7 linked regions of the Oryzias latipes genome follow. The main gene of each other region encodes a partner of the protein of the gene in region 2 in a complex. Links are inferred from orthologs where the notes say so. Each region holds a gene or a part of one and is shown on either strand. Other genes may lie near its edges.

Region 1 (4,182 bases), on a different chromosome or scaffold from region 2:
TATAGAATGAAAACAAAGATCTGATTGTGACAAAAGATTGATGTAACTCTGGTAAGATGAGCACATTGTGTAAAGAACAGAGAGGGGATTAATTGACAAGGTCAACAGCCAATCAGGACGCACAACACAGTGCTGTAAAAAGAAAAAAAAAACGTGCAGAATTGCAGTAAAAGAAAGCGAAAGGTGAACTGTGATATAGCAAGGGAACCCTGAAATCATAGTATTCATTATAATCTTCAAGTGATAACACTTACAGAGGCTTCAGGTGGACTTTGTATTTGACTATAACCCAAATTCAAAGTATGGTATTCAACTGTCCCATGCAGAGATCTTACCTGGGCTCCCATGGCGTCGTAGTCTCTGGCTCTAGTGAAGGAGCGCCCCAACTTGGAGATTTTCCCGGTGGCTTTGTCAATGGTAATAACATCACTAAAAAGTGTGTTTAAAGACAAACAAGAAAAGCTCCATTTAGATAGGACTGAGAAAAAAACAAAACCCAAACCTTTATATTGCTTTATGAGGAGAAGATGAACTCACCCGGCTTGAACTTTCTCTTTACTGAGGCTTTCAATCATCTTGTTCCCCAAGTCATATATTGTCTCCATCTCTGTAGTCTTCAGAGTCAGCTTCCCCACCTTTGCACCCTGATTAAAGCAAACCAGCTCAACATGAGGCGAATCAGCTAAATAAATCAACGTTTTCTAAAGCTATGGTATGGAAAGACTGTTTATGAAGTGAAAGGATCTTACTGTTCCAGTGGCGGGTCTGTCAATCTGGATTTCTACCACCTCCCCTTCAATGATTTCTGTCTCCTCTCTGGATTTATGGGGGGGAAGAGAGCGGACTTAATTTCTATCCAAAAAAAACAACCTAAACCTTGTTTATATACTTACTTGATTCTCACTCCTATAGCTTTTCTAAAAGCTTGGCTCAGTGCTTCAGTTTTGCTCATTTCCAGGGAAAAGATCTCACTTCCAGCCAGAGCTGTAAAGGGGGTGTCAGGGCCCAAAGACTGAGCAATACCTGTAGATGAAAGAAAAACATGCAACAAGCCTCAAATAGCCAACAGAACTTTGCCTCAGGTGGAAACTTGTATGCATCATTTCTGGTCCCATGCTCACCCATAGCAATAGCCGTCTTCCCCGTGCCCGGCTGGCCAGCAATCAGAACGGCCCTGCCGGCGATGTGTCCGTCTTTGATCATCTCCAGGATTATCCCTGCTGCTCGACGGGAGGCCAGCTGGCCGACCATCCCCTGTGACACCTGCAGGTGAACAGGGAACTCAACTCGTTCAGCAGCAAATATGCCTCATTCGGATTTTATCCTTTGACTTAAGGGACATTTTGAATGCTTTAAACAAGCTGCTAAAAGACTTTCCTGTTGGAATCACAACATGTGGGTTTAGTGCTGACAACAGGGCTTTAGAATCAAGTCTCGCTTTGCTACTTGACTACCTCTATACTGCTTCATGTTGTTTCCACACACAACAAAACATTAAAAGGTACATTCGAAACATTTTAACCTCTCAAGTTTAACAGCAGTTTAAAAATATCCAAATATGTTTTCCTCTGTTAAGTTTTTGCCTTTTTAAAGGACATGAATTACAAAAAAAAGCCATAATTTTATCAAAACTACAAACACCTAAAACTACTGAAGTCTTGGGTCAAAACAGAGATCAACAAACAGAAGTGCTGCACGTTACCTGTCTGGGCTCCAAAGCATCGTCCAAACCAAGGCCCCGAATGTGAGAGTGGGCCCCTAACCACACAAAGATGAAACTATTACACAAAATATTACAAACATACGGGAAATCATAGCAAAAATAAATACACACAGCTCATGTAGAGATAAGGCATGTTCTAAAGTTTACCATTCAATTTAAGCTTACCATTTATTTCTAAAGTGTTGAAAATCTGCATGGGGTCTTACCTATTCTTTCAATCCGTGTAATGTCCCGAACCTCTGGCACTTTTGTAGTTGCCATCTGTAGAATAATACATCAATGACAAGAAGAAAACAAAAAAATGCAAAGAAACATTTTTAAAACAATTTGCCTCATCGTAAACAAAAGAACAAATATTTTCAGAGGAGTTTAGGCCTTCGTTGATCTTTGACTAAATCTTAAGAGCATTTTTTATTGTTTGTTTAAAAATCCTGCTTATGAAAAAGAACAGCAAGAATTCCTTATGTGTGTGTTCAAATATCGATGACACTTTTGGATGTTTATCGTTTCCAAAGAGAGTTAAAATTTGCATCCTCCATTCACCAATGTTTTAGTGTTTTCCACATAGACTTTGTCAAAGCAATATAAATGTGGAATTCCTTTTATGCTCCACTTGTCCTGTCCGTTGTCATAGTGACAGCAATGAATGACCACACACAACACAACAGCAAAGCTTAGTCAACACTCTTTGACATTTTAAAATATATATACGCATATTTGTGAAACATATCTAGGAAGGAAAGTATTAGTAAATCAGGTTTAGAAAAATTGACACTTCACTGAAATTAGTTTATTTTCTAATATGAATACGGGGGGAGAAAATCGACAGGTAACATCAGCTAACGATATTAGCAAACAAGCTAGCATCATTCACACCGTTCATAACGCAAAACAACAGCACACGCCATATTAGCCGGGTAATAAAAGCCTGCATGACACGCGGAAGTACTTAAAAATAAATTGGCTATACTACTTGGGTGAAAATATTAAAGTCCAAATTGATTTTAACATCTACTACAAACTCAGGACTCACCTCCGCAGCCACACTTAAAAAACGTGAGAAGCGCCGCTTCTTTCTCAGGGAGTACTGGTTAAATGTGTCCGACAAGAAACATGCGAAGCCGTTCAGTTCCGCTACTAGAGTTTATTGGGACTGCCCTCTATAGACTCAAATGTGAATTACAAATCTGGCGTAAAAGCCCGGATTTGTTTTTGAGATGAAAGCTACGTTTTTGTCTTGATCGTCACGATAATGATAACCTGAAAATACTTAAATACTTCGAAATTATCTTTCTGTGTGTCAAATTTACTACCTAACAAATAATGTTTTTGGCATTTTTGATACCTATAACTATTAGAACTGAAATTTTAAGCATTCAAATACAGATTAAAGATTAGAAAGAAAAATAAACTCAGGTTGCTAATAATTTAAGACCTGGATTGCAGTCATCTGAACAAAATAAAACCAAGGAATCTAAAATTGTAGTTTAAAAAAATACTTTAAACTTAAAGAAATGCATAAGAAAACGTCACATTTTAAACAACTTATCATGCTGTTACCTTGAAAAAAAGATAATTAAACCTAAAACATCACAAATATTCATATATTTATTTCCCAACAAATGTAAAAATATGATCATGCATTAAAAAACATGTACTCCCTTAATATGCACTGCTTTTATAATGTGTGCTTGAAGTCCTTATGGTAATTTTCTCTCTTTATCATGACTTATATAATCCATAGGTGATCTCCTGAACCAAAACTGGTCAGAGAAACTAAGAGGTTTCAAAAACTTTCCATTTTGACCCAAAAGAAACCCTGTTGGTTTGCAGAGGATGTGACTAAACCTGATTAGTCTGAAGAAAAGCCCAGCAGCACTGCACAGATTTTTCCACTAGAGGATGCAAGATTAATGTTGTGCAAGGATCCTCATATAGACAAAGTTATAGTAAGAGATCTACTAATAAACCAAAGTTATAGGATTGATGACAGAAGCCACATGAAACTAAATGATGCTTGTAGAGATATTTCAGTTAGAGGGAGTAAGTGTAAACAACCCCTACATAAGGTATGAAGTGTAGGAATGGGTGTTGTTTCTTATTATTTACCTTGTAAAAAAACTGCATCTCCCTTTTTTATTTGCCAAGTCTGAGGATAATCTCTTTATCCTCAGAGAAATTGTTGAAAATGTTTAGACGAAATAACTCGAAGGAGCAGACCCCTCTGAAGTGCTACAGAGGGGGTCTTAATATCCTTTCCATAAATCATCAAATTCAACCCTCAAGGCTGAAGGGTTCCAGATCATAATGTTTCATTCAGGAAACAGATGGATGCTGAAAATGACAGGTTCTTCAAGACTGAAATGAAAGAGACAAGGATGAAGCAAACTCATCGTTGTTTCATTTCAGGCGTCAGTTGTTGGGTGTGGCAAACAAGTTCAGCAGCACCCACTTGAATT
Region 2 (4,314 bases):
AAATAATCTATTTACGATATGAAGTATTGTAAGAAGTAAAGAGAAAAATCACAAGTGTTTGAAATACAACAATATATAGAGATATTTAAAAAAAGTTTTTGGTATTTCATTTTATTTTTAAATGAAAGACTTTTTTTAAAAATACATACAGAAAAGGTTGGTTAATATTATACCAGAAGCTGTTTGCTATCACACTGTGGCAACAATCACATAGGGTCAAATTGTTATGCAGCGAAGTGATATACATTTGGTCTCTACAGGAAAAAGTTGAACATTTTAGCTGAAAATGAAAAAATAAATAAATAAAACAGTTAGACTACCCAAAGCTTTTGAAATGATCATTTCTAATTAGCAGAAACTTTTTAAAATTAGAAATGCCTTTCTTTCTTTAAATTTTATGTCATTGTAGCATGTCAGGCTGATTATTCTGTTAAAAGAAGTTAAACTGTTTTATCCTTTGATTTGTTCGAGGGAAAATGTTTACATGTTACACTTGTGTACTCTACTTGGATTTTATGGTAAAACATGTGCAAAATAATAATAATAATAATGCATTTTAGTTTCTAATTGGCCAATGCACAATCTAGTGAAACCCCGTGGTAGAAATCAATTGTTAGCTGATCAAATAAGCCTTTACTTACTTACTTACTTACTTACTAACTTACCCACTTACTTACTTACTTACTTACTTATTTACTTATTTACTTATTTACTTATTTACTTATTTACTTATTTACTTACTTACTTACTTACTTACTTACTTACTTACTTACTTACTTACTTACTTACTTACTTACTTACTTACTTACTTACTTACAGTTGTGGGGGGCAGATAGAAATTTAACTTGTTTCCCATTTTAAAAAAAAGGATCAATTTGATCTTAGTGCTGTGTCCGAATTTCCAACCTAATCACCAACTACTAAAAACGATATAGTGTCGTGGGTTTTAAAAGCAATTAGGACACCATCCTCACTATTTTTTTTCTTTTTTTAAAACGGGAAATATAACGTTACCGATTTCACGAAGTGAAAATCTGATCAATACATACTCCGTCGTAAATACAAGCAATTTACAACAACTATTTATTAATTCATTGCGTACTTGAAATAAAAAAAATATTGATTGTTTAAAAAAAAGCATTTCAACACATTGTTTTCGCAAAAAATGTTCAAAACGCAATGCATTGTCATTGATCTATGTTGGCCAATTTAATGAGCGTCGATGCACACTGGTTAATTTGCAGAGACTTCCGAGAAATTTCTTAGGAACTGGATTTTGAAATTGTAGATTCGGACAGCATTACAAAATTGCGAACGCACTGTATAGTGCACTGTGTAGTGAGTGGTAAAGGAATTTAGAGATGTATTTTTACACAGGCAGTCATGAGACTGCCTCTGCCTGTGAAAAAAAACTTTCACATGGGTCGGGTCCTTCAAGTGCACTCTATCAAGATGGCAGCCAACAGCAGCACGTTCAGCAAATCGAGCAGCAGCGCGGCTGGAAAACAGCCCGCGCAGTCAGCCGAACAGGTATCCTATTGAGTAGCGGAGTCTTTTGTCTCGGTACTCCTGAGATTGTGACATATTATTCGTATATATTCAGCAGAAAGTAACTAAACCGACGTACAGCCAGTCAGCGCTAACGTTAGCTTCCCCGTGGCCACAGAAGTGTCTTGCAGTCAGACCCATGCGAGGGGAAAGAAATTGTGAGCATGAAATTAGGTCCAATTTGTGCTATTTGCACATCATGGAATGGGATAACGTCAAAGATAAACTAAAGGTACACCATTCTGTATGTGGGTGGTGTGGCCCTCAGAATGGGTCTGACAGAGCATGATGATGCTATTTTTACTACTCAGACAGTCAACAACTATGCACAGCTCAAGGGCTACGGAAGCCTTTCATATAAGAAAAAAACTGTTTCAACACGTTGCCAAATTATTAGTATAAAGCGACGTCTTAGTGATAGACAATAACATGTAGACACACTATAGGAACAAATTAGCATAAAAATGGCAAATGTTGAAATGTATTAATCTTTATTCGATGTTTGTTGAAAAATAACATTAAAAATACATATGAACTTCAAAAAATTTTGGGGTCAAAATTAAATATTTTCATACAGGTTCAAAGAATACTGTGAATTAAGTCATATTAGGAAGTCATATTCTAAGTTATAAATTGCTCTTGATTGAAAAAAGAAAGTAAAGCTAAAAAAAATGGTACATACATTATATATAAAAAAAGTAAAACAATTTGAAATCATTAACATGGAGAAGGTTATGCATTTGGTCTGCTTAAATTGAACCAGAGTTCACTTTAAGGTCTGGGACCTTGACCCATCTTTGCAGGTGGTCTTGGTTAATTTCCAATCAGATTGAGCTCGGGTTCGCTCTAAGATTCCTCAATCTGAATACCACTGAACCTAAATGGCCACCATAGCTGACATAAACAGAGTAGGAATGTGGCTACAGATGAGCCGCGGACAAATAAGCAATTATTATCGTGTTATCAAACAGAAAAAAAGAGTTCAAGTGTTTATTTGTTAGAACGTTTATTTTAACATTGCTGAAAAGGCTACTTGCATGCTTTTCTGTATCTTGTTACGCGGCATTCGCCTGTGGCATGACTAAAAGCTATATTATAGTTTCCTTAACAGAATTCTCTAAAAACAATGCCCTAAAACCACAATGATGAGACACAGCAACTCATTGAAATGTGGTCAGATGAATGCAGGCTAATTAAAATCATTTTTAATGGGAAACACATTGTATCTCACTGCAGGCTGAAATGACACAATTCTGATTGTTTTTTGCCCCTATGCGACCTGTATCTGATCTTTTCATGACAGTCTGAACGACACAGATCCGATCTTTTCAAATGCGACCCAGGCCACTTGCGTATGTGGTCCTGAATCCGATATGTATCCGATCATTTCAAATGCGACCTCCGTCTGAACGTCCAGGCCACATGAATCCGACCCGTACGTCATTGATACGCTGCAAACATCATCATTTTTCGTTGAAGTAGGCGGGAACAAGAACATAAACATCAACCAATGGCGGACGATGCTGCTGAGACCAGTCAGTGGAAGGGAAGCGAAGTCACCGATTTGATTAATATTTGTGGTGACGGCTCTATTCAGGCCAAACTCCAGGGCTCTTTATCGCAACCATGCGGTTGCCCCTCAGAGAGGAGAGAGCGTGGCAGCCTACTCATACCCGACGTCTCGTCATCAATGCAGTTACTAGCATGCTCTGAGTTAAAGCACACACAGCACGTCTCCTTGCCACTGACCGCTTCGCAGCATGCCTTTGCCGTACCAAAGTAACAAATAAAAAGGCTTGTTCCCGACGTTCAAAACTGATAATCGAAAAAAATATAAAATTTTAATAATTTAACTGTTAAGCGGCACACGTCCACATTTCTCTTGTTTTGATCTGCCCTCGTAGTTCCTGGCCAATGACTGAAGAGATCTTTAGTCACATTGTTTTGTTTATAAGCTTTGGTCGCTAACAGAATGGGGCGCTTAACGCCAGTCTGATAAAGGCCTAACGCAAGGTTCGGAACTCGGTCCGGAACAAATTAAGCGGACTGGATCAAAAGGGACTGGGTAAAAAAAAAAACTCTCTAAAGTCACAATTTCCTTTTAAGGTTTGGTAAGTTTATTCAGCCTGAAAGCCCCTCAGTCTGAAACAGCTTACATGCTTGTGTTGGGATCAGACGGATGCGTCAAATGTCATTGGTCTGCATTGATGCCAGCTTTGCGGTGATGTTTTCAGGTGGTTGCCACCTTTCAGAGGATGCGTCAGGAACAACGCAGCATGGCGTCTAAAGCTGCAGAGCTGGAGATGGACATCAATGAGCACAGGTTAGCAGCTGATGACTTCTCCTCTGAGAGCTTTTATAATACTCACTTTTTATGTTTGATTGTTAGCAGGACAGCTAATTGGATCATGTTGGTCTGTAGTTAAATTGACCTTTTTACTTTATATACATTAAACTTAAAAAAGAAAAACATCTTGTAACTCACCTCGTCACATAACTGGTAAGTGGTAAAAGAGTAATAATTTTAATGTTTTTTTCTTTTTGTGTTCAGTTTAGTTATTGAAACTCTTAAGGAAGTGGACCCTTCTAGGAAATGCTATCGCCTGGTTGGAGGGGTTTTGGTAGAGAGGACGGTGAAAGAAGTTCTACCTGCTTTGGAAAACAACAAAGAACAGGTGAAAATAAACAAATAAAAGCTCTTTAACATTTATCACAGGAAGCTGTTTTTCAGGCTAATGGACATTAAAGTCTTACTCTGATCATCAT
Region 3 (4,433 bases), on a different chromosome or scaffold from region 2:
ACACTGCCTCCTACTGGCCCAGACAAGAATAACACCTGAAGTAACCAAAGCACGTGACCAGTATTATAAAGAGAAGTCTAAGAAAAAATACAATTTTAAAGACAGAAAAAACGCTCAATAATAATCTCCAACAGGATGAATGAGCTGCTGTAAAAACAAAAGACTTGTTTTTACAACACAGTACAGAATATCAAAGCTAATTCTTGTTTTAACTGAAGAAAGAATTACCTATAGAAAATAACAGGCAAAATACTTGTACAACATAGATATGTAAATAAATAAACAAGAACCTAAAATAGTGTGACACAATCCTCCTTTTGATTAATGCTAAAGTCATTTTTGACAGATTTAAGATACAAACTGCTTTACGATTTCAGTGTCCGACGTTAAAAGATGAAATACAAATGACACTAGGGCTGCACGATATGAGGAAAACTCGCGATATGCGATATTGGTGATTAATATTGCGATAACGATATAATTTGCGGTATATAAACAAATGTCAAACCAACCAAAAACATAATTTCCATTTCAATGCAACAGTATAAAAATCATACTCCAAATGACCCTTGTCGACGTAGGAGGCAAACATCAAACATAAAAGGGCTCATTTGATTGATCAACAGCGTAAACGGGTCCTTCCGATTGGTTAAATGCATAAAGGGATTTATTTCATTTGTTCAATATTTCAAGCTGCCATGAGTTTGTTTTAGCACACTTAACCCTTGTGCTATCTTAGATGACCCCCCCCTTACATTGACGTGTTCTCCCTACCATGACAAAGGTGGACAAAGGTGGAAAGATTTCATGTAATCCATGGACACCAGTGAAGATCACAAATTATTGAAGAAAAATTGTTCAGTGCACTGTCTAGTGGGTCTAGATGACCCAACTCCCAATGTTAAAGTGCCTAGGATAGCACAAGGGTTAAGGTAACCATTTATTGCGATTTTCGCCGTCTTTTGCGGTATGCATATTGCACAGCTTGATGTCGCGATAACGATAAATTTGCGGTATATTGTGCAGGCCTAAATGACATAATGAGACGATAAAAGCTAATAAATAGGTTAATGTCAGAATATTTATTCACAATTACTATTCATTTGTTTAAAATAAATGATAGTTTGTATTAATTGAACAAACAATTTAACAACTACAAACATAATGATATGAAATATAATATTATGGGGAAAAAACCTGTCCAAAAGTATCTCAGATGCATGGACAGCAAATATAAAACTATTTTAACTTTAAGAACATGTAAATATTATATGACATAATTAATTTAAGGCCCCAAACGGACAGCTGTGGGATCCCATTTATTTCTTTTTTGAAGGTACAACCAGCCAAGGTCAACTTTTATTTCTGCACAACCCTTTTTTCATCAGCCACTTTTCATCTTCCATTAATTTAAAAGAAACTATGAGTACAGTCTTTATTATATATTAATGTAAAAAAAAACACAAGCATATCTGTGACATGCATCTGTTTTCCCCAGCATAAAGTGTGTCACAGTAATGAAAAAAAGAAATATTTCTATTGAATGAAGCAACATAATACCTGATATAATCACTTAGCAACACTGTTAATTTAATTTTAAAGCAAAAGCTGTATTCATTTTTTTAATATATTATTTTATTTCCCCCAAAATTTGACTAATTACTCATCTGGGGCACATTGGACCCCATTTATAATGTAAAGATATAAGATAGTTTTCTGTCTGCTAAAATGTCTATATGTTTAAATACTACAATTATGGGTTTCAGGTCAAAAATTAAGCCTTCACCTTTCAACTGTCAGTCTTAGGATATAAGATTGTATCAGTAGAAATTGAATATTAAAAGGTTCAAGGTATGGCGTAAATTTAAGGCAAATTATGTGATTCTATATTCTATAAAGACAGCTTAAATCAGGTGTTCTCGTCGTGCATTTTGTTTCTCTATTTATTCAAGGTAGAACTCAGAATTTGTGGTCAAAATTTTACCATGGCGACGAAATATGTTCAAGTCTATCCTGAATTTTCAGAACTACCCATAAAAACTAGATTTCCAGCTTCTGTGGCTGATATTTCATTACAAATAAATGACTATAAACGTCTCTGCTTATAGTAAGTGCTATATATTATAAACTAAAGCTTGAAAATATCATTTTAACTAGGGCATCCCATACATTTTCTTTTGTATTTCTTTTCCTTACATTTCTCCATTGATGTACTCCAGTCTTTTTGTGACCGTGGCCTTGGCTTCATCCAAGTCTTGCTTCACTAAAACTGGACCGATAAGCTTGTAAATGGTGTTAGAACTGTCCAGCAGATCGAGCTCCTGGAAATATACAGGTCACATCTTCAGTCAAACTGAACATAAAGATATCTAATGGACAAAAACATGTTGTTAAGGGTTAGGCGTGTACCTCTTTGACTATGTTGTTTTCTGTCAGCTGCGTCTCCAGTTTCTGCCTGACGGACATACTTTTACTCACATCTGAAAAAAAAACAGACATTTGTAAGTTGTATTTCTTTTAATACGTCAAATCTCAAAGTTACTTTAAATATTTGAAACATGGGTGCAGGCATGGCTAACTAACTGCTGCCCGATGGTAACAACATCATGGCACACTAGCAGCTAACAGGTACCTACCTTTCTGCACCTGCGAATATTTTTCTAATTCCGCTTTTAATTTCTTTTGAATTGCATCTGCCATGTTTTATGACTTGTTTGTAATAACCGTGTAAACGTTAAATAAATGTATCTAGAGGTTTCAGAGCTAACAACACAGAATGGGAGAACTGCGCTAGCTAACCGGAAGGAGCGACGGATTTAGCGGAAGTTGTGAAAGATTCACTGCCATCCAGAAAATCGGAGTTTCCGCAGTCGTACAAGAGAAGAGTTTTATCAAATATTTTCTATTTCTGTCCAATGTATATCATATTAGATGAAGAAATTGCATGAAATTTGAAAAATATCTTATTTGATTAGGATTTTTTTGACTTAGTAGTTATACACACAAGTTATTACATTATTCTCATAGTCGAACAATAGAAGATAATAGATATTTTAAACTTTGAATTGCACACATAACATTTAAAAATAAAATTAATTGCTGCCACATCTCATTCAAAAAGGTATGGATAAATCTTGGTCCACCAGCTCTGATCAGTCTAAGGGGATCTCCAACATGGAAAGAGTTGATGTCCTCTCTGTATTAAATCATAATAAATCATGTAAGGGGCTAATACCTGGCATCAAGCCACTGACCTTCAAAAATCACAAGAGAAATGAAAATTGGTTTTAAAAAAAAAGTGAGACGGCAGTTGCCCAATAAAGTGGTGGACACTCAGGGACTGTGACCCTAAAACTGGGAGAAAGATTTAAGATCAACTTTATTAATCCACTTTCAAGATCAACTTTATTAATCCACGAAGGGAAATTTGAGAAAAGCGATTCTTCAACAATAGTTTTGCCTTGGTTTGCTTTACATCAATAAACAATAGAACCTTGGAAGGTTTAGTAAGTCAGATAAGTAAGTTGAGGAATAAATGTTTGTATGGACCCTTTGTGTGCGTGTGTGTGTGTTTGTTTGAACAACTTGTTCACCTCTCGGCAGATCCCGTCATTTGTCACCACAGTGGTATTTTGATTGGAAATAAATTGTAGTATTTGTAGTATCATTGTTTTAATGAAAAATCTAAAATGCAAAAGTGGTAAGTAGTAGTAGTAGTAGTTGCTGTAATGGTAGTACATTTGTATGGGTTTTTTTTTTTATTAAAAATCTAAAATACATAGCAGTTGCAGAACTAGCATCATTATTATTTGAACAAAAACCTAAAATAAACAGTAAGCCTGTGGTAGTAGTAGTAGTAGTAGTAGTAGTAGTAGTAGTAGTAGTAGTAGTAGTAGTGGTCATGGAAGTAGTATCGTTTTGATGATTCAAAATCTAAAATACTTAGTAGTCGTATCATCATGTTTTGAACGAATTTCTAAAATACACAACGAACGCTGTTACTGATGGGAAGATTTTGGTTTTAATTATGCAATGAAAAAAAATTAGACAACCACACATCACAGAAAATCAACAAAAACGTTTTAAAGACTTTCTTTTACTTATTTATTTATTTTACAGAAAATGCAACTAAGAAAACTGCCACGAATGTACAGAAAAACTGTGTAAATTTAGGAATTAATACAAATATTTTCCGTCGTGTTTTATTCCGTCAGCGGGCGTTTTTTTTTTTGACGCAGTCGTATTTACGACGTGTTTACGACACTTTTGCACGCAGTAGCTGCTCTGCTTCGACATGGCTTCGTCGTTTTGGAAAGGTGTTGTCGGCGTTGGACTATTCGCTTTAGCCCACGCAGCTTTCTCAGCGGCACAGCGTGAGTTTCGCGTGGAATGACGGGGACATTTGTGTCTAGTTTGTCTTTTATCCCGGGTTG
Region 4 (4,402 bases), on a different chromosome or scaffold from region 2:
CGCGAAAAATGCTTTAAATGACGTTATAATTTAGATTTTACATTGCACCAGCAAGCAGCACTGATTTGATGCAACGACATGCAGATTGTTGAATTCACTTGCACAGCAATTCAAATGAAAGGCCAGAAAGAAAGTAACAATTCTCTTGCAATTTTCCAAATAAGTCCGGCAAGCGCTGGACTTTTTTCAGTACCGTCCCAGTGTAGGTACCATAACAGTTCGGCCTGCAACAACCGTTCAGGGTCCTTCGACTAGTGCTGACGTCACATTATGTGATGACTGTCTGTTGGTCCAATGACGTGTCAGGTAGTGATTGGTCTGGACAAATGACAATACTACCATAGAAGAAGATATTATACGGTCCGTTGTAAACAAACAGAGCTCCGACACAGAGCGACATTATCTTCTAAACGTGCTTTTAATATTATGATTATTATTAGGTGCATTGCAGATGAATGGACTGCGTTCAGAACCCTTCTCCAGACCGCACACTATGACAAAGCAGCTTCCCTGCCTGTAAACACGAAGCTACGAGACTCCAGCTGCTCTGCTCAGAGACAGGGTTCACTCTGTGGAGCAGCAGGTTCATTCTAGCAGCCACAGATCTTTACAAAGGGGGTTGTGGCAAAATCTCTATAAACACTACAAAGAATAATGTCAGACACAACTTAAGAGGGAAAAGAACTTTATGTTATAAAAGGAAACGTGAAATGAGAATATGTAGAGCCCGAGCAGATCTCCACGCTACGTAGTTTGTCCAAGTGGGGCTACCGTAATGTGACATCATCCTCAGTCGAAAGGACCCCAAACGGTTATTGCAGGCTGAATGGTTATGCTACCTACACCAGCTGCTGTTGAACAAAGGCGGCTAAAGCCTGGACAGTCTGTCCCAGGGCCCATGGAGCTGGAGCGGTTGATCTCACTATGCGGCTCCCAGGAGGCGAGCTGGGGGCCAGACAGAGACCTGCTGCAGGATGGGGAGCCAGCCTGCTCTGACCTCCTGAACTTTAGGTTTTCTTTCAGGTCTCTCTATATATAACATATATATAATCTCATCATCCTCTCCCTCATGGTGCAGAGACCTAAGCATAGTAGGACAAATAACTGGGCAAAACACAATAAAAACAGCTAAACAACTAAACACATTTGGTCAAAAAGCCACACTTAAACCCAAATCCGTCCAGACAGGCAAAGGGAATGCTATCCCACAATCCCTTGCGGTGCCGATCTAACAGCAGCACCAAAGTTACACCTACTCAATTGAATTAATTTGAATGAAAGTAAAATAACTGTCTGACAACTATGTGTTATTTTTAAGTTGACTGAACTGAAAAAAATTATTTATCTTAACTGAAGCAAATAATGAAGTTAGATCAAAGTAAAAAAGTTTATCTTTCCAACATCCATATGTGGTCTTATCACCCTCTCATGGTGTAAAAAGTATTATCTGAGCTTCTTCATCCACTAAATCATCTTCAAATGGACACGCCATGCTGCTTCACCTCTCTGTAAACAAACTAACCTTCAACTAAACCTGCTCCAGACCAGGTTATGTTCAGAGCATGAGTTGCTATGGCAACTTGACATAACCTGAAACATACCTCTATTTCTGGAACTGAAAGCTGAGGTTATCAACTTCCTTAGCCTCAAACGTACCGAGGGAGCTAGCATAACCTGCTTTCTTTTTTTTTTTTTTTAATAAACTTTATTGAAGATATACAAGATACTCATTCAAGTAAATTTTAAGTACACAGATAAAAAAAAAGAGTAACAAAATGTGCCAGGGGAACAAAAGAACAAAGGAGAAGAAAGAAGAAAAAAAAAATTATAAACAAGAGCAGAAAAAGCAGTAAGTTGCTATTCTGTACATTTAAAAAAATTCCAGGGTGTCAAAGGTTCTTATAGCTTTGGGGTTGGAAGAATGTTTTATTGCTTTGATATATTGGTTCAACTCAATCATAAAAAGTTTGAATAAGGGCTTTTTTTCAGAAAATTTGCATTTATGTATGTGGAATTTGGCTAGTATTATCAAAAGGTTAATTAAATAGTATTCCCTTCTTAGTGAATTATTAACACTATAAAAACCAAATAATATATCCTTGTATACCAAATCAAATTTTTCATAAATTTAACATCGAACAAAGGAGGTAAGGTCTTTCCAAAAAATTGCTGTTGGGGGGCATTTCCAGAAAAGATGTATAATTGTTTCAGTGTCTAATTTACAAAAGGAGCAATTTTTATCAATGTCTATGTGTAATGAGGATTTGGCTGGGTAGCATCTGTGAAGAAGTTTAAAACAAACATCCCGGGGTTTATTTGAAATAAAATATTTAGAGGACAAAGTCCAAACTTTCTTCCATTCAATATCTGGGGCAATTTTTCTCCAATAGTGGGTGCATAACCTGCTTTCTGGAATACTCCCCTGGGCCTTTGTGACGTCACAACACCGCATTAGTTCAAACAGAGCGTCTTTGAGACAGTTTGATTGACAGCGGTTTAAAAGGAGAAACACTCAGAAATGCAAAAATGAAACCATGTCTAATTCCATTTGTTGTATTTCATAAGACAAATACCACAATGTCACAAAACATGATTTTCATCAGAGGGGGACTTTCAGAACCGGAGCAGAACCCAGAGGGGCTTACCGCAGGTCTCTCCTCAGAACTTCCTCGATGAATCTTTCATACTGAAGGACCTTCTCTTCCATCCTCGAGTCAGAACCGGCGTCTGTGGGCGGAGTCATCGGGGATGGGGGGCTAATGCGGGGGCTCTGCGGGCCGGTTCAGCTCAGACACTTGTAAAGAAGTTCACAGCCCCACATGCAGTCATCTAAACAAGATTCTGAACCGGAAGTACTCCGACAAGATACTTCCAGGTTTCAGCGTAGAAGAGGAGCAGAAAAAAGAACATTTAATTTCTTTTTATGTTTAAAGCACTTTGTGCAAACAGTTGTTATTTGGTCATTTTCACTTACATTTATTCTTCCATATTCTACCAGATATATAGAACGTGGCAATTATTCATAAACTAATTCCCGGGTTAAACCTTATGTGAATATGAATTTTAAAATATATATGTTTTTGTTTAATGGCTGGTTGTGCTAATTTTATTTATTCTTCTTCGTTGTTTTATTTTCGTTGATTTGGATTGTCCTGTGATGACGTCACTGTCAACAAACATGGCGGAGAGCTGCGTTGACTATAGTTGAAACGTTTTCAAAATATCTCGTCAAGTGCCAAAGGACAGCGCACATTTGGTGTCGCGTACATGTCATCAGCTTTACGCATCAAGTAAATATCCAGCACTATACTAAATATTCAACGATATACTAAAGTTTCGTAGTTTTATTTATCAGATGTGACCGAGGCAACATCAGCGCCCACTTCCGGTCTCGTTCCGTTCAAAATGTCGTGCTTATTTTGGTTGGACGCGCCGGAGCCCCGCTCTTAAAACCCGTGGACTAAAAACCGTTAAGTAAAGGAACAAGTCCAAGTCCATAAAGATCCCCGCTGCAGCTGCAGGGGTCCTGGATGATCATGGAGCAGTACAGCATCCTAGGCCGGATTGGAGAAGGGGCTCACGGAATCGTGTTTAAGGCCAAGCACGTGCAGGTGAAACATGTTCATGGAGCAGAAAAAACAGACACCTGAACAGGTGATCATTCAGGCTGATGGATGAACGTGTTTCTGACAGACCGGGGAAACTGTGGCTCTAAAGAAGGTGGCTCTGAGGAAGCTGGAGGACGGCATTCCCAATCAGGCTCTGAGGGAGATCAAGGCTCTGCAGGAGATTGAGGACAACCAGCACGTGAGTGTGTACAGTCGTGGTCAAAGGTTTGGAGAATGACGTAAATATTGTTGGAAATTGGAAAATAATTGCTGCTTAAATACATATAATAGCATTTTGCATATACTCCATAATGTTATGATGATCAGATGAATTGCATAGTCCTTCTTTGCCATAAAAATGAACTTAATCCCCCAAAACTCTTTCCACGGCATTTCATTGGTGTCATTAAAGAACCAGCTGAGATCATTTCATTCATCGTCTTGTTAACTCAGGTGACAATGTTGACGAGCACCAGGCTGGAGATCATTCTGTCAGGCTGATGGGGTTAGAATGGCAGACTTGACATGTTAAAAGGAGGGTGATGCCTGGAATCATTAATCTTCCATTGGTAACCATGGTAACCTGCAAAGAAACGTGTGCAGCCATCACTGTATTGCATAAAAATTGATTCAAAGGGGAGGGTATTGTGGCAACTAAGATTGCATCTAAATCAACAATTTATAGGATCATAAAGAACATTTTTGGAGAGACGCCACTTCTCTCCAAAAACATTTCTGATTGCTTGGGGAATCTGCAGAAAAGGTGAGCGCTACCATCAGTCCTGTGTGACGCC
Region 5 (3,215 bases), on a different chromosome or scaffold from region 2:
ATCATTGAATCAATGCCTCCTGAAAAGAGTATAGCAATGCTAGCCTGGCCACTGCTAAGAGGTAAATTATCTTTTGCCACAAAAGGCAACGAATGAACTCGTCGCCTCACCGCCTCACTCAGGACACCAATTAGACGGTTCACAACTTCAGTTTTCTCCTTGCTGATTAGAAACTCCTCTAGATTTCCTCCAGACACCTGTGAACTGGGATTAACTTCAACCTTTTTTTCTGGAATGGACATATTCAAAGGACAAACAGGTGAAGTGATTGATAAACCTGCTCGATTTATCTCAAAATTGCACCCACTAGGGACAGAGTTAACCATCATTTCACTCAATGATGGGTTTATGACATTTCTTGCCCAGGGAAAAAGCTCAAAGGACACAGAACCACTCTGTGCAGCTGCCTTTACATCAACCTTAAACACGCCAACAGCTGGGACTTCTTTCCAATCAGACTGACCCAGCGCAGAAATCCCAGCTGCCACTGAGGTCAAAGTGAAGACACTGATCTCGGCGTCATATTTCCACAGCAAGCTGCGCCTTCCAAAAAGGTCTCTCCCAAACCAGAGATAATCTTCAGCCTTTTGATAGAAAACAAATGCCCAAGGCCCTTGAATGGCAGACAGAAGTGCCAGAACCTCCAAAGAGTTTTTACAAGATGACAATTTCTGACAGATGACAGTGGTGTCATTCTCTTCTGGCATCACAGAAATCCCTCCAAAAACCTCTCCATTCCACATCAAGACATTTCCAGCGTCGTCTTGAAACGGCTGAAGAGTAAGGAGGCCTCTCATATGGAGAACATGGGCAGAAAATGAGCAGTGATAGCTCAAATCTACAGCAGGAAACGATAGCTCCCTGCTAGAGTTGGGGCCCCTTCTCTTCAGAAATTCATAAATTCTTTTGTCCTTCTCAAATTGAGCAGCTGACAAAGTCAACTGGAAAAAGATTCCACACATTGTTGCAGCTCTAAATATCCTGCAGTTCTTTTTTCAAGTAATCCAGTTCCTCTGCAAGAATAAAAATAAAAAAAGTTTTAAAAAAAAAAAGGTGAGTTATATTGTAGTATGGTACAACATTGTAAAAATTTCAATGCAAGAGGATAAATGAATACTAACACATACTTCTGCTTGTAGACAATGTTTGACTTCTGTCAGCCAGGAAGAAAATGTTGCTGTTTCTCTGTTGGATGTAAACTTTCTGAAGAAAAGAAAAAAAAAATCAATAAAAAATGAATTTATTACGACGGATGGATGGATTTATGGATGGATGGATGTAAAAAGGTAATTACCGTACCCTGTTCTTCTTTAGGTTAGAGAGTTCATCCACAACGACCTTTTGCTCTTTGATCTGGAAATTAGCAACAAGTTAACGTTAACAACCCTATGATGATGAAGCCATCAGGAGATGTATCCCATCATGTTAAGTTTTAATTTAAAGATCAGCAGTCCTTCATTTTTCCAGCAAACATGAGAAAATCGAAACTTATTAAAACAGTAAATACATACTATTGGTGCGTAAATACTAACAAAAGTATTGCTATTCGTTTTTCCGTTCTACTATACATGCTGAAAAAGGTGAATAAACATATCCGTGTTGTTTAGCCAGCTAACAGTAGCGCGTCTTTGATATAAAGTTACCTTTTTACTGAGTTCCTCTTTATATGTGGTTTGCTCTTGGGAATTATCGCTGTTATTGTATTTTTTTGAAGACATTTTCATAAAGGAGCCACGAGGGAAAACTTTTTATCTAATTTTTCTCTTAACAGCGTCTACTTCTGCGACAAACATGTCCGGATATGCGTCATAACCGTTCCGGGTGAAGAAATAGGTGGGGAGTTCGAAGCACACTGCCGCCTAGAGGCCAGATTTGTAAAACACCCGCTACACATCTCAGGGTCCGGGGCCTGCCAAATTATAGGTAACCAAGGGGTAAACACAGATTGAATAAGAATGTCTTTAAATAACAGATTTGATGTAATTTACTTTCTTAAGACTAAAAAAATAGTATTGGGCTACTACAAAAAAGTTTTTTAAACGGAATTGGGTTAAAATTTAATCAGCTAAGCAAGTTCGAGACAGAAGAAGTTAGACTTTTCTGTTTCTACCCGGTTTTAATTTTCATTTAAAGTGACACTTCCATATAAGAAAAAAGCAACAAAAAGAAACACTGATTAAATAAAATCAATTAAGCATAAATTAAATAATGAATCCATTGCACATCTGATATGTTGATCATTTTTGATCAGTTTTCAAAACCACCTGAAGCTATTAAGTAGTCTTTAAAAACACCCAATTAACTGTCTGTGTCTTGTTCCTTTTTTTCTTTTCCTTTTTTTTCTGACATCAGAGCCTCTGAAAGCTGCACCTTTGTTAACCCTACCCTTTACTTTAACCCCAGAAACACTTCTTAAAATATTGCTTTTGGGGGGAAATACACCTCCAGCCAATTGTTGCTAGGCTGGAACAGTATCTCTAGTTAAAAAAGTATTTTTTCATTGTTTACTTGTAAAACTAAACTAAAGTAGTGGCTGAAGACAAACCAACCTGCCTTGTCTTAAGATAATTTAGCTTTTTTATATTTTAGTTATAATATGACATGCTTTCATCTGCTGATGTTGAATCATCAAATTAAAAATAACACATGCAAGTGCATTTTTTCGGGGACTAAAGCTTTTTGTTGACTTGATCTGTCTGTAGACGAACAGATGCTTAACCCCCTTTAAAAGCAGTTTCAACCTAACCCCCACCTCCCTGCTCAAAGATCACACAACCAAAAAAAAATGAATGTTGAAATACCTGCTGAACTCTGCAGCTTATTTCAACCTTGTCTTTGCCTTTTTTCTTTTGAAGTCTCTCAGCATTTAAATAGCTTTTGCATACCTCATAGTTGTTTTGTTTTTTTTACTCTTCAGTTTGAGTCAAAACTGTGCCATGAAGCTCCTAAGATGGAGAGAAAGCTAAAATAGTATTTTTCCTTATTTATGCTGCTGGTGATCTATTATTATTGAAAAAAATAAAGTTTGCAGTTGTTGGTAGAGATCAACAGATGACACGAATGTGATTGATTTTTCTTCAGCAGTGGGTCAAACACCTTTTCAGTGCAAACACAACTGTTTCTAGGCAAACACACCTGTGTAAAGTTCTACATTGGTCTTAAACTGAATTGATTTAAAACAGTTTTCAACTGTTGGCTATTTCTTGTAGCATTTT
Region 6 (4,351 bases), on a different chromosome or scaffold from region 2:
GAGCAGAATGTAAAATTAGTCTTTTTTTCCTTTTTTTTAAGTACTTTTTTGGGCAATAATTTATTATAACTAGATACTGGAGATAATTTTTCAGTTTTTGATATCAACTATCTGTAAATGTGCATTTTATGATTGTTTTGAAGCTGTTTCAGGGGAAAAATCCTTCAGTATGTTTACATAACTGCTACATGTCAAGGAATATGGACAAGCCTGTATGTTTTTAATTAAACAACAAATCTTTTAAAATGTTTGTTTTCATGTCCTAATAACTTGATTATGAAGCTTGTGGTTTGTCAAAATAAATAACAGCTACATTTACAAGCAGAAGGCAGTAATGCTTCCCAACCCTGGGTTTTATATTTGTCTTTCTGCACGGATCTTTCTCAGGTTTTTGACCTGAAGATGTGAAAAAAATCTGAATTTTATTTACAGAGATTGAGATATTTTTAAATCTAATGTGTTGTCTAATGTTTCAGTGTCCCCCATCCGCTTAAGTCTAAATTTTAAATACATGATCAGAATAAATTTTGTTTAACACTTAAAAAAATACAAACACACCCAATAAAGCAAACAGATGAATGAACCAGTGGTCCAGGTTTAGCCACTTAATTTTACTTTGGGCAAATACTGAGACAAAAAAATGTAAACTCTCTTTTCATGTACATTTGGATAACATTTATACTATACGCAGCATAAAACACAGCTGTTTATTCATTTCGCCTCCTCAGTTTCCAAAAAAGCAGTGAAATCAAATGTTTGTATGGGCATCAGAAATATTCTGCTTGTCATAGGCCAATGGGAAATCTTATATGTTCAGATGGTTCAGACTTAAGTTCATCATTAGCAAATATTAAAAACTGTAAATAAGAAAGTAGACCAGATATTTCCAGCAAACATTGGGGGTTACTAAAAACAATGCGGGTCATTGTGATATTTTCTGGGTTCAGCTCATATAGAGAAACAAGATGATGAAATAGCCACTAAATGTGCTTGAATAGTTTCCAATAAAGGATTTTGAGTTAAAGATCAGTCTTAGCAAAGCAGAGATAAAAACATAATCAAAGAGAGAAAGAAATATGACGAAGACACTGGGAGAAGGAACAAAGGAATAATAGAGGGGAAAATGATGAGAGCGGGACAACATAGGATAGGAAAAGAGCAATAACTAGATTGAGACGTAAGACTCGAACGTTTTTAAAACATGAATACATTTTTTTTAAACTAAAAAAAAAAAATCCAAATTTAAACAACCTTGAAATGTTGAACATGAAGTTTGAGGTATCTGTAAATTTAGGCAATGGTCGATGTGCGCTTTTTTTTATTTATGAAATTTTTGCAAATTAAGATTGAATTCATTTTTTGAGAAGATTCCACTCGAATGTAAGTAAGAACGTGAAAGTTAAGAAAAGATCCCGGTTTACACTCCACTCCAGTTGGCGGCGGTAACGACCAGCAAGCTGTTTGCCTACCGCCAAGAAAATGCAGAAGATGAAGCGTTCCGCCTTCTCTTGTGTTTCTCGTAGAACATATTTAGATGCGACACCGCCAACATGGATGCGGGTTCGCAGCGTGTGCTGGACTACCTGACAGAAGTGGAAGAAGCAGCCGAGGAGGTTATCACAACCAAACAGCAGGTATGTTGTGACGAACCGCAAATCGTTTCTTTTTTCAAAAGTCATGTTTAACATAGATAGCTTCAGCTAGCAAAGAGGTCACCGAACCGCTTCACTAGCTTAAAAACAAGTGATACTGAAGTTCAAGTTGGGCTGCCTGGATGATGATCATGATGGATCGAAATTTCTGTTCACAAAATTGAGTAAAAAATATCCTAAAATAATATTTTATGTCATGTTATACTATGAATTAGATGGCGTGTCCAACAAAATATTTTTTGTATTGATGATCTGTTTGGGGAAATTCCACTCACAGAGATGTAAACAAAAAAAGAAGTGTTTTCCTCTACTTAAACGTAATAAAGTTGAAAAGAAATTAGATAAAGATTAGCTTGATACCACTCTTGAAGAAAGACAGAAATTCAAAAGTTCTGCTTTCAATCTGGCTCTATTTGACATTTTAAAGATTTTATAAGAAATTTATTTGCAAATGAAATTTTCTATAAACTACAAGTGGATATTTTAGCAGCTAGTGCAGCAAACACGGACAATTTCTCTTTTAACATAAAATCTACTATAAATTTTGATCATAATATCTGTGACATAAATGGACACTCTGTCTTTGTTAGTTTAGTTCACTTTATATTCTTTTTGGCTGTCACCAGCCAGGGTCTTACTTTGACCCATTTTCTTCATTTAATAACCAAAAATTGGATACTAAATTAGGTAAATATGAATTCATGTGTCTTTCTTTTTTTTTTCTTTTCTTCAGATAGTGGACCTGGACTTGAAGAGAAACCGGAACAGGGAGGCGCTGAACGCTCTCAAACATGAGCTGTCTGATTCAGGTGAGGCAGGACCGGGTCCCGTCATGTTTAGAGGCAAGAAAGGAAAACCTGATCGCTGCATTTATGAAATATGTCAGAAGTGCTGCTGTTAAATAACAAACCCAGCCTTTTCCAGCCTTAATGTTCTTGTTTTTGTTTGCAGAGAATGTGAAGGTTTGCTTTGGAAACATGTTTATTGAGTTTGACAAATCCAAAACTAAAGGGATGGTCCAGAAAGGTAATCCTTAAAGAAAACACACTTCCATGCTTTATGTGTTTATTCATAAAAATAAAAATGTATTTCTTTTGTGCTGCAGACCAAGAACAGCTGGATAAAGAAATAAATAACCTTCGCAGAGAACTGAAAACTAAATTCAATCATCTCAATGAGATTCAAGGTATGCAACTCTTTCAAAATAAGAAAACAAAAAAGGAAAAATTAAAGCTGACAATTTTAATAAAACGCTTTACAGGCTGTGTAGCAGAAGGGGAAACGTGATTCCTCCCTCTGGTCCTGCCCTCCTGTTGGAAGGAGAAGAGGTGTTGCATTTCTCTTTTGGATGAACATAAAGGGGTTTTGGGAAGAAAAGAAGTGCTGTAAAACACTGGTAGCCATTTGGAACAGAGGATGTTACTTTTGACAAGTTGAAAACTCACAAAACTCAAGAAAAGTTAATAAGCTAAAATAGGTTCCTAATTCCAAAATGTTAAACTGACATTTGTGAAAATGTGAAATATCAAGACAAATTAATTAACAGCGTTCATTTGGGGCTTTGCACTGTTTCTGTAGAGTTCAGTTACACAACGTACTTGTCGGTCGTTCCGGTTGAAGCCAGTTGCGTAACTGCGGAGTCCTAAGGTGACACAAATAAATACTGCAAGCTAAGAGTGGAAACACCAAGACAACAGCAGACCTCATAATATATCTTTGTTTACAGATTTCTTTGCATTTTCTCTGACTGAGCTGCTGTAAGGTTCCAATGCCACAAGGGGGCAGCACACTCAAAAGCAGGCGAAATGTTAGTCTACAGATGTTTTCCACCTGCTCACACCTACAGACTGATCTGATCTGCACATGCACTCTTCTAGACACTCAGTTCAGGAGCCTTTACTCTGTGTCCAGGTCACTACAAACATTTTTTTTAATCATTAGTGCGTCTCTAGAGCTATCATTTTCTTTAGTAAAATACAAACAAATTAAAATAAAGTACCGTAAAATGTTTGCACCAGGAGGGGTAAAACTGTCTCATAACAACAGCAACTAGTGGAAAAGATGCCCTGACGCTTCATTCAAACATTCAGAAGTCAAAGTAAGTTTCATCAATTAAACTTTTATTATTGAATAGCTAAAACTATTCCCTTCATTTCTGTAGGTAAACCGGAGCTCAGAGGCTACAGACTGTCTGCACTGTCCTCTGAGGAGATCAAATCTATCAACAGCCTCCTGAAGACCTGATTCTCCGGCTGTTTCGAGTCACTTCTGAGAGAATGAAGCGCCAAAGCTGCAGGCCTGAGTTCCAGCGCCACATTTAAACATCATTTAAACATGCTTATTAAAGGCACCTTGGCTGGACGGTTGGACTGTCGGGGATTCGTGCAGGACACTTCTGCAGGTTCAAAAGATGACAAACATGTCCTTTTTTGCACCCGGTTCCTGGACTGTTTTAATAAAGTTCATATCTATTATATTTACAGTTTTAAAGTTGTTTCCTTTAGTAGACAGCAGCAGAATCTATATTAAACATCTTCTAGAATTGTAGTAGTTAAAGATGGCTGTACTGACTGGTCAAAGTCCACTTTCCAAACTCTCTTTAAAGGAGATGTTTGGATGTCCATGTTCCTCTGACTCTGAAGTTTTTGTGTAAATAATCTTTTAAAAGAAATAAAAGAATTTATTATCAAGTACATCTA
Region 7 (4,259 bases), on a different chromosome or scaffold from region 2:
GAAAAAAAGAGATCTTAAATGTACTGATTTGATCAACAAACCACGACAGGAAATAAGAAACTTCACGATTTATCAGTCATTGTGTTTGTTTTGAACTGTTCTTCTGAGCTGTCTTGGTATTTAGACTCATATAAAAACCTAAATGGAATTTAGCAATGTGTTCTTAAATGGCAAAACATACAAAATGTGAAGGTAAATGTAAAAAAAATAAAAAAGTAAGGCAGAGGTTTTTTACGTCATACAAAAAAAAACATCTAAAATGTTGACACTGTGATATGTTTATCAGCTGGTGCCAGTGAACAGACGGAGTGAAGGATGCTGGCGCTGCTCCAGCGTTTGTGACTATAGTCTGTTCTGTTCCGGACTGTTCGGAACCATCCAGAACTCGCTGGCTAACAAATATAAGAGGTTTATGAGCTTATGGAGAAATCTCCTTACGAGGTGTTAAGCAGAACGATGACAAAAACACAACAATAACAGGAGACATGCCTACGTATGCATAGACATGTAATAATACATGTACTCCAATGGAAACGCATGCACTGTGCTAGGCTATGCAATCAGGTTATAGAGAAGAAATACTTTACCGTGGTGGACAAAACAAAGTACAGTACCATCGCCAGCAGTGCTCCGCTGCTCGCTATAGCCCCAACTGTCAACATAACAATTAATGGCCTCATTTTTGACAGCGACTTAAATAAAAATAATAATAAAAAGGCCCCAGTTATCGGAAAAAATCTATTTTGTTCATTGTAAGCGCACGTGACTCATTTCCACCCAGTGTTGTGAAACTCAAGTGGGTGGAGTCAAATGCTTGACAAGACAAGGAGGAAATGACGTATGAGGTTTTTCAAAACAAAAATAAAAATAAAATATAGGTCAAAACGTTCAAAAAAAGGGGGGGGGGTAGGAGATAGAGGTGCACGATATGAGGAAACTCGCGTTCTGCGATATCAATGATCAATATTGCGATGACGATATAACTAGCGATACATGAACAAATAGCAAAACAGCCAAAAGACAGTTTCTATTTCACTGCAACAGTTTAATTTAAAGAAGAGTCAAGATGACGTACTTAAATTATACTCAATGACCCTCGTCTACATTCTAAGATTTTATCTATTTTTATAGATAAAATGTGTCATAATTAAAACATAGAAGGTGATATATTTATTTATTATTAGCAAAATATACTAAGCTTTTTTAAAACCTAAATTCAGTCAGTAAAAAATAAATTTAGAAAGAGATTTTTAATTCTGAAGCAAATTTTTATTTTAATTTATTTTTTTTACCATAAGTAAATTGTCTTCAGATTTACATTTCCAATTAGCCGAAGTTAAAAAAAAATACCGAATAATTAAGAACATTTTATGAAGACTTAATAAATTCGCTCTGAAGATAATAACCTGGAGGACTTTTCTTTAAGAACAGTTTTTTTAAACGTCAACTCGATCAAACGCAATGCATTGTGGTATATAATATTGGCCAAGCCAGGAACCATCGATGCCATCGGATTTTTAGAAGAATATTAGTGATTTAAAAATACGAAAAGGAGAATAAATTGAGAAAGGATGGACGATGAAGAGGAAACTTACCGGCTGTGGAAGATCCGTAAAACAATAATGCAGGTGGATTAAATAAAAGGATATACTAGCTTAGCAGCGAACTAGCTGTTAGCTTCACATGTGGCTCGCGTTAAAGAGTCGCTTTTGACTGCCATTGTTAAAGTTGTAACTAAATCTTTTACGTTTTGTGTGTTAATCTCTTATTCTCAGTGCAAGTCGTTCCAATTACGCGCTCAGACTTTTTTTTTTAATTATTATGTGTAGGAATGATGCATTCGTTAGCCTCGTTTGAACGAAGGCTAACTTTAGCACACCCATGATGACCCATTAAAAAAAGCCAACATGTTTTCGTACATGTAGACTACATGTATGACAACATGAATGCTTCAAATCATTAAATACACTTTCACAAAGTTTGCTGCTAAACTGCTTTTAGATTTTTGTTTCTGTGATGTACTGAAATATAGTTATCAGCTCTTTATTACGTTTAGGCTTTTTTTAATCGACAATAATTATATGACATTTATGCAGAGAGTCAGGTTTTGCAGTGTTGGACTTCCTTTGTCAGCACCCCTGCAATTCGACTGGGCATGCTGTCAATCAACTTTAGGGCCAAATCCTGACCGATAGCAACCCAGATTGATTAAGATCTGGGGAGTTTCCAGGCCGTGGACCCAAAATGTCAACATTTTGGTCCCCGATCCACTTAGTTATCACTTTTGCCTCATGGCACGGTGCGCCATCGTGCTGGAAAATACATTGTTTGACGCCAAACTGTTGTTGGATTGCTGGAAGAAGTTGCTGTTGGAGGGAGTTTTGGCACCATTCTTTATTCATGGCTGTGGTTTTGGAGAAAAATGCGAATGAGCCCACTTCCTTGGATGAGAAGCAACCCCACACATCAAGGGTCTCAGGATGCTTTACTGTTGGCACGACACGGGACAGGTGGTAGCTCTCACCTTTTCTTCTCCGGACAAGCCTTTGTCCAGATGCCCCAAACAATCGGATAGAGGCTTCATGGGAGAATAGGACTTTGCCCCAGTCCCCAGCAGTCCACTCGCCATACTTTTTGCAGAAGATCAATCTGTCCCTGATGTTTGTTTTTGGGGTGGATAAGTGGCCATCTTCTAAAAGTCTCCGCCTCACTGTGCATGCAAATGCGCTCACACCAGCCTGTTGCCATTCCTGAGCAAACTCTGCACTGGTGGCGCTCCGATCCCACAGTTAAAACCCATTAGGAGACGATTCTTGGCACTTGCTGGACTTTCTTGGACGCTCTGAAACCTTGTTAACAAGAATTGAACCTCTTTCCTTGAAGTTTTTGATGATCCTATAAATTGTTGATTTAGGTGCAATCTTAGCTGCCACAATATCCTCGCCTGTGAAGCCATTCTTATGCAACGCGATGATGGCTGCACACGTTTCTTTGCCGGTCAGCATGGTTAACAGTGGCAGAACAATGATTTCAAGCATCACCCTCCTTTTAACATGTCAAGTCTGCCATTCTAACCCAACCGGCCTGACATCATGATCTCCAGTCTTGTGCTCGTCAACATTCTCAACTGAGTTAAAAAGACGATGACTGAAATGATTTTTGGGGGGGGGATTCATTTAATTTTCATGGCAAAGAAGGACTACGCAATTCATCTGATGACTCTTTGTAACATTTTGGAGAACATGCAAATTGCTATTATAAAATCCTAGGCAGCAACTTTTGCAATTTCCAATATTTATGTAATTCTCAAAACCTTTGGCCAACACTATACATATTAAAATGTTGTTTGTTTTTTTTAACCACAGCTCTGCCACGATCGAGGCTATCTGGTAACACAAGATGAGTTGGACCAGACCCTGGAGGAGTTCAAGAGTCAATTCGGAGACAAACCCAGCGAGGGTCGTCCCAGACGGACGGACCTTACAGTCTTGGTCGCACACAACGATGATCCCACTGATCAAATGTTTGTTTTCTTTCCTGGTAGGTTTATACTTGAGAATAATTTGGGAACTCATCCTTTTATCCATAAAATAACCAAAAGTTTAAGTTACACTCCAATCATATTTCGATTTATTTTTAAAGGAGTCCCCAGTGGTATTATATTTATGAATGCTCTGTTTTTAGCCAAATTCATAAAAACCTGTGTGGGCATCACTGTTGGCACGGACGTAAGCCCCTGCTGATATCCCATCATCCCTTTTTTGTTTACACACTCTCCCATTAGATTACATTGACTTTATTAGAGAATTGAGCCATGGTGACGTCGCCTTTCTTCCGGCTCCAGAGAAATGAAGCCAATAGACCCTTTTCATGGTGACGTCAGACAAAACAGAGACATGGGCGCCATTGTGTCACCGTACTTCTGGTTTTAGACGAGCAAAGCTGACAACTGAACGCTGTTTAACACCATTCTATGAGAAGAATACACACTAACCTTACCAATCGCAACGGCACTTTTTACATGATTTATTTTATAAATGTCATATCCAACTGTAGTCAATTTCCTCTTTTAAATCTTTCACAAGTCAAAATACAAATTTAAGTAATCCATCAATATTTAAGGTTCAGTTGAAAATATCAACCTTTCATTTGAGTCTAACAGGTTATATTTTTTTACAGTTTCCTATTCTTTTTATCATTTTTCTTTTTCGCAGATCAGACACAGTTATTGGCAATAGCAAAGAGGTTCAGTGTTAGAA

Evidence for each region.
Region 1: pfdn2 (region 2) and ruvbl2 share a complex: the UniProt entries of both Homo sapiens proteins name them as parts of the PAQosome complex. The link is inferred for Oryzias latipes from reciprocal best matches to the Homo sapiens genes PFDN2 and RUVBL2.
Region 3: pfdn2 (region 2) and pfdn6 share a complex: the UniProt entries of both Homo sapiens proteins name them as parts of the PAQosome complex. The link is inferred for Oryzias latipes from reciprocal best matches to the Homo sapiens genes PFDN2 and PFDN6.
Region 4: pfdn2 (region 2) and uxt share a complex: the UniProt entries of both Homo sapiens proteins name them as parts of the PAQosome complex. The link is inferred for Oryzias latipes from reciprocal best matches to the Homo sapiens genes PFDN2 and UXT.
Region 5: pfdn2 (region 2) and ASNSD1 upstream open reading frame protein share a complex: the UniProt entries of both Homo sapiens proteins name them as parts of the PAQosome complex. The link is inferred for Oryzias latipes from reciprocal best matches to the Homo sapiens genes PFDN2 and ASDURF.
Region 6: pfdn2 (region 2) and pdrg1 share a complex: the UniProt entries of both Homo sapiens proteins name them as parts of the PAQosome complex. The link is inferred for Oryzias latipes from reciprocal best matches to the Homo sapiens genes PFDN2 and PDRG1.
Region 7: pfdn2 (region 2) and polr2e share a complex: the UniProt entries of both Homo sapiens proteins name them as parts of the PAQosome complex. The link is inferred for Oryzias latipes from reciprocal best matches to the Homo sapiens genes PFDN2 and POLR2E.

What each region holds. Positions count from the first base shown.
Region 1 is NC_019872.2:21,690,766-21,694,947, forward strand, and holds the start of ruvbl2 (ruvB-like 2), read right to left. Parts: upstream 2,867-4,182; 5' UTR 2,757-2,866; intron 1,985-2,756; coding exon 1,930-1,984; intron 1,759-1,929; coding exon 1,703-1,758; intron 1,264-1,702; coding exon 1,122-1,263; intron 1,024-1,121; coding exon 894-1,023; intron 817-893; coding exon 750-816; intron 645-749; coding exon 538-644; intron 430-537; coding exon 336-429; intron 1-335. UniProt on the Homo sapiens protein: Possesses single-stranded DNA-stimulated ATPase and ATP-dependent DNA helicase (5' to 3') activity; hexamerization is thought to be critical for ATP hydrolysis and adjacent subunits in the ring-like structure contribute to the ATPase activity.
Region 2 is NC_019876.2:18,973,684-18,977,997, forward strand, and holds the start of pfdn2 (prefoldin subunit 2), read left to right. Parts: upstream 1-1,408; 5' UTR 1,409-1,419; coding exon 1,420-1,530; intron 1,531-3,782; coding exon 3,783-3,871; intron 3,872-4,099; coding exon 4,100-4,223; intron 4,224-4,314. UniProt on the Homo sapiens protein: Binds specifically to cytosolic chaperonin (c-CPN) and transfers target proteins to it. Binds to nascent polypeptide chain and promotes folding in an environment in which there are many competing pathways for nonnative proteins.
Region 3 is NC_019868.2:26,684,654-26,689,086, reverse strand, and holds the start of pfdn6 (prefoldin subunit 6), read right to left. Parts: upstream 2,836-4,433; 5' UTR 2,701-2,835; coding exon 2,637-2,700; intron 2,481-2,636; coding exon 2,410-2,480; intron 2,322-2,409; coding exon 2,197-2,321; intron 1-2,196. Other genes in the region: mmgt1 (membrane magnesium transporter 1), read left to right, coding at 4,295-4,373. UniProt on the Homo sapiens protein: Binds specifically to cytosolic chaperonin (c-CPN) and transfers target proteins to it. Binds to nascent polypeptide chain and promotes folding in an environment in which there are many competing pathways for nonnative proteins.
Region 4 is NC_019865.2:33,765,878-33,770,279, forward strand, and holds the start of uxt (protein UXT), read right to left. Parts: upstream 2,867-4,402; 5' UTR 2,744-2,866; coding exon 2,646-2,743; intron 1-2,645. Other genes in the region: cdk20 (cyclin-dependent kinase 20), read left to right, coding at 3,531-3,611, 3,694-3,807. UniProt on the Homo sapiens protein: Involved in gene transcription regulation. Acts in concert with the corepressor URI1 to regulate androgen receptor AR-mediated transcription. Together with URI1, associates with chromatin to the NKX3-1 promoter region.
Region 5 is NC_019879.2:16,672,257-16,675,471, reverse strand, and holds ASNSD1 upstream open reading frame protein, read right to left. Parts: upstream 1,804-3,215; 5' UTR 1,725-1,803; coding exon 1,644-1,724; intron 1,354-1,643; coding exon 1,300-1,353; intron 1,204-1,299; coding exon 1,128-1,203; intron 1,014-1,127; coding exon 973-1,013; 3' UTR 963-972; downstream 1-962. Other genes in the region: asnsd1 (asparagine synthetase domain-containing protein 1), read right to left, coding at 1-962.
Region 6 is NC_019863.2:18,202,480-18,206,830, reverse strand, and holds pdrg1 (p53 and DNA damage-regulated protein 1), read left to right. Parts: upstream 1-1,506; 5' UTR 1,507-1,550; coding exon 1,551-1,634; intron 1,635-2,385; coding exon 2,386-2,461; intron 2,462-2,603; coding exon 2,604-2,678; intron 2,679-2,757; coding exon 2,758-2,838; intron 2,839-2,913; coding exon of another isoform or gene 2,914-2,939; exon of another isoform or gene 2,940-2,980; intron 2,981-3,813; coding exon 3,814-3,896; 3' UTR 3,897-4,345; downstream 4,346-4,351. UniProt on the Homo sapiens protein: May play a role in chaperone-mediated protein folding.
Region 7 is NC_019862.2:26,974,537-26,978,795, forward strand, and holds the start of polr2e (DNA-directed RNA polymerases I, II, and III subunit RPABC1), read left to right. Parts: upstream 1-1,454; 5' UTR 1,455-1,571; coding exon 1,572-1,628; intron 1,629-3,365; coding exon 3,366-3,540; intron 3,541-4,259. UniProt on the Homo sapiens protein: DNA-dependent RNA polymerase catalyzes the transcription of DNA into RNA using the four ribonucleoside triphosphates as substrates.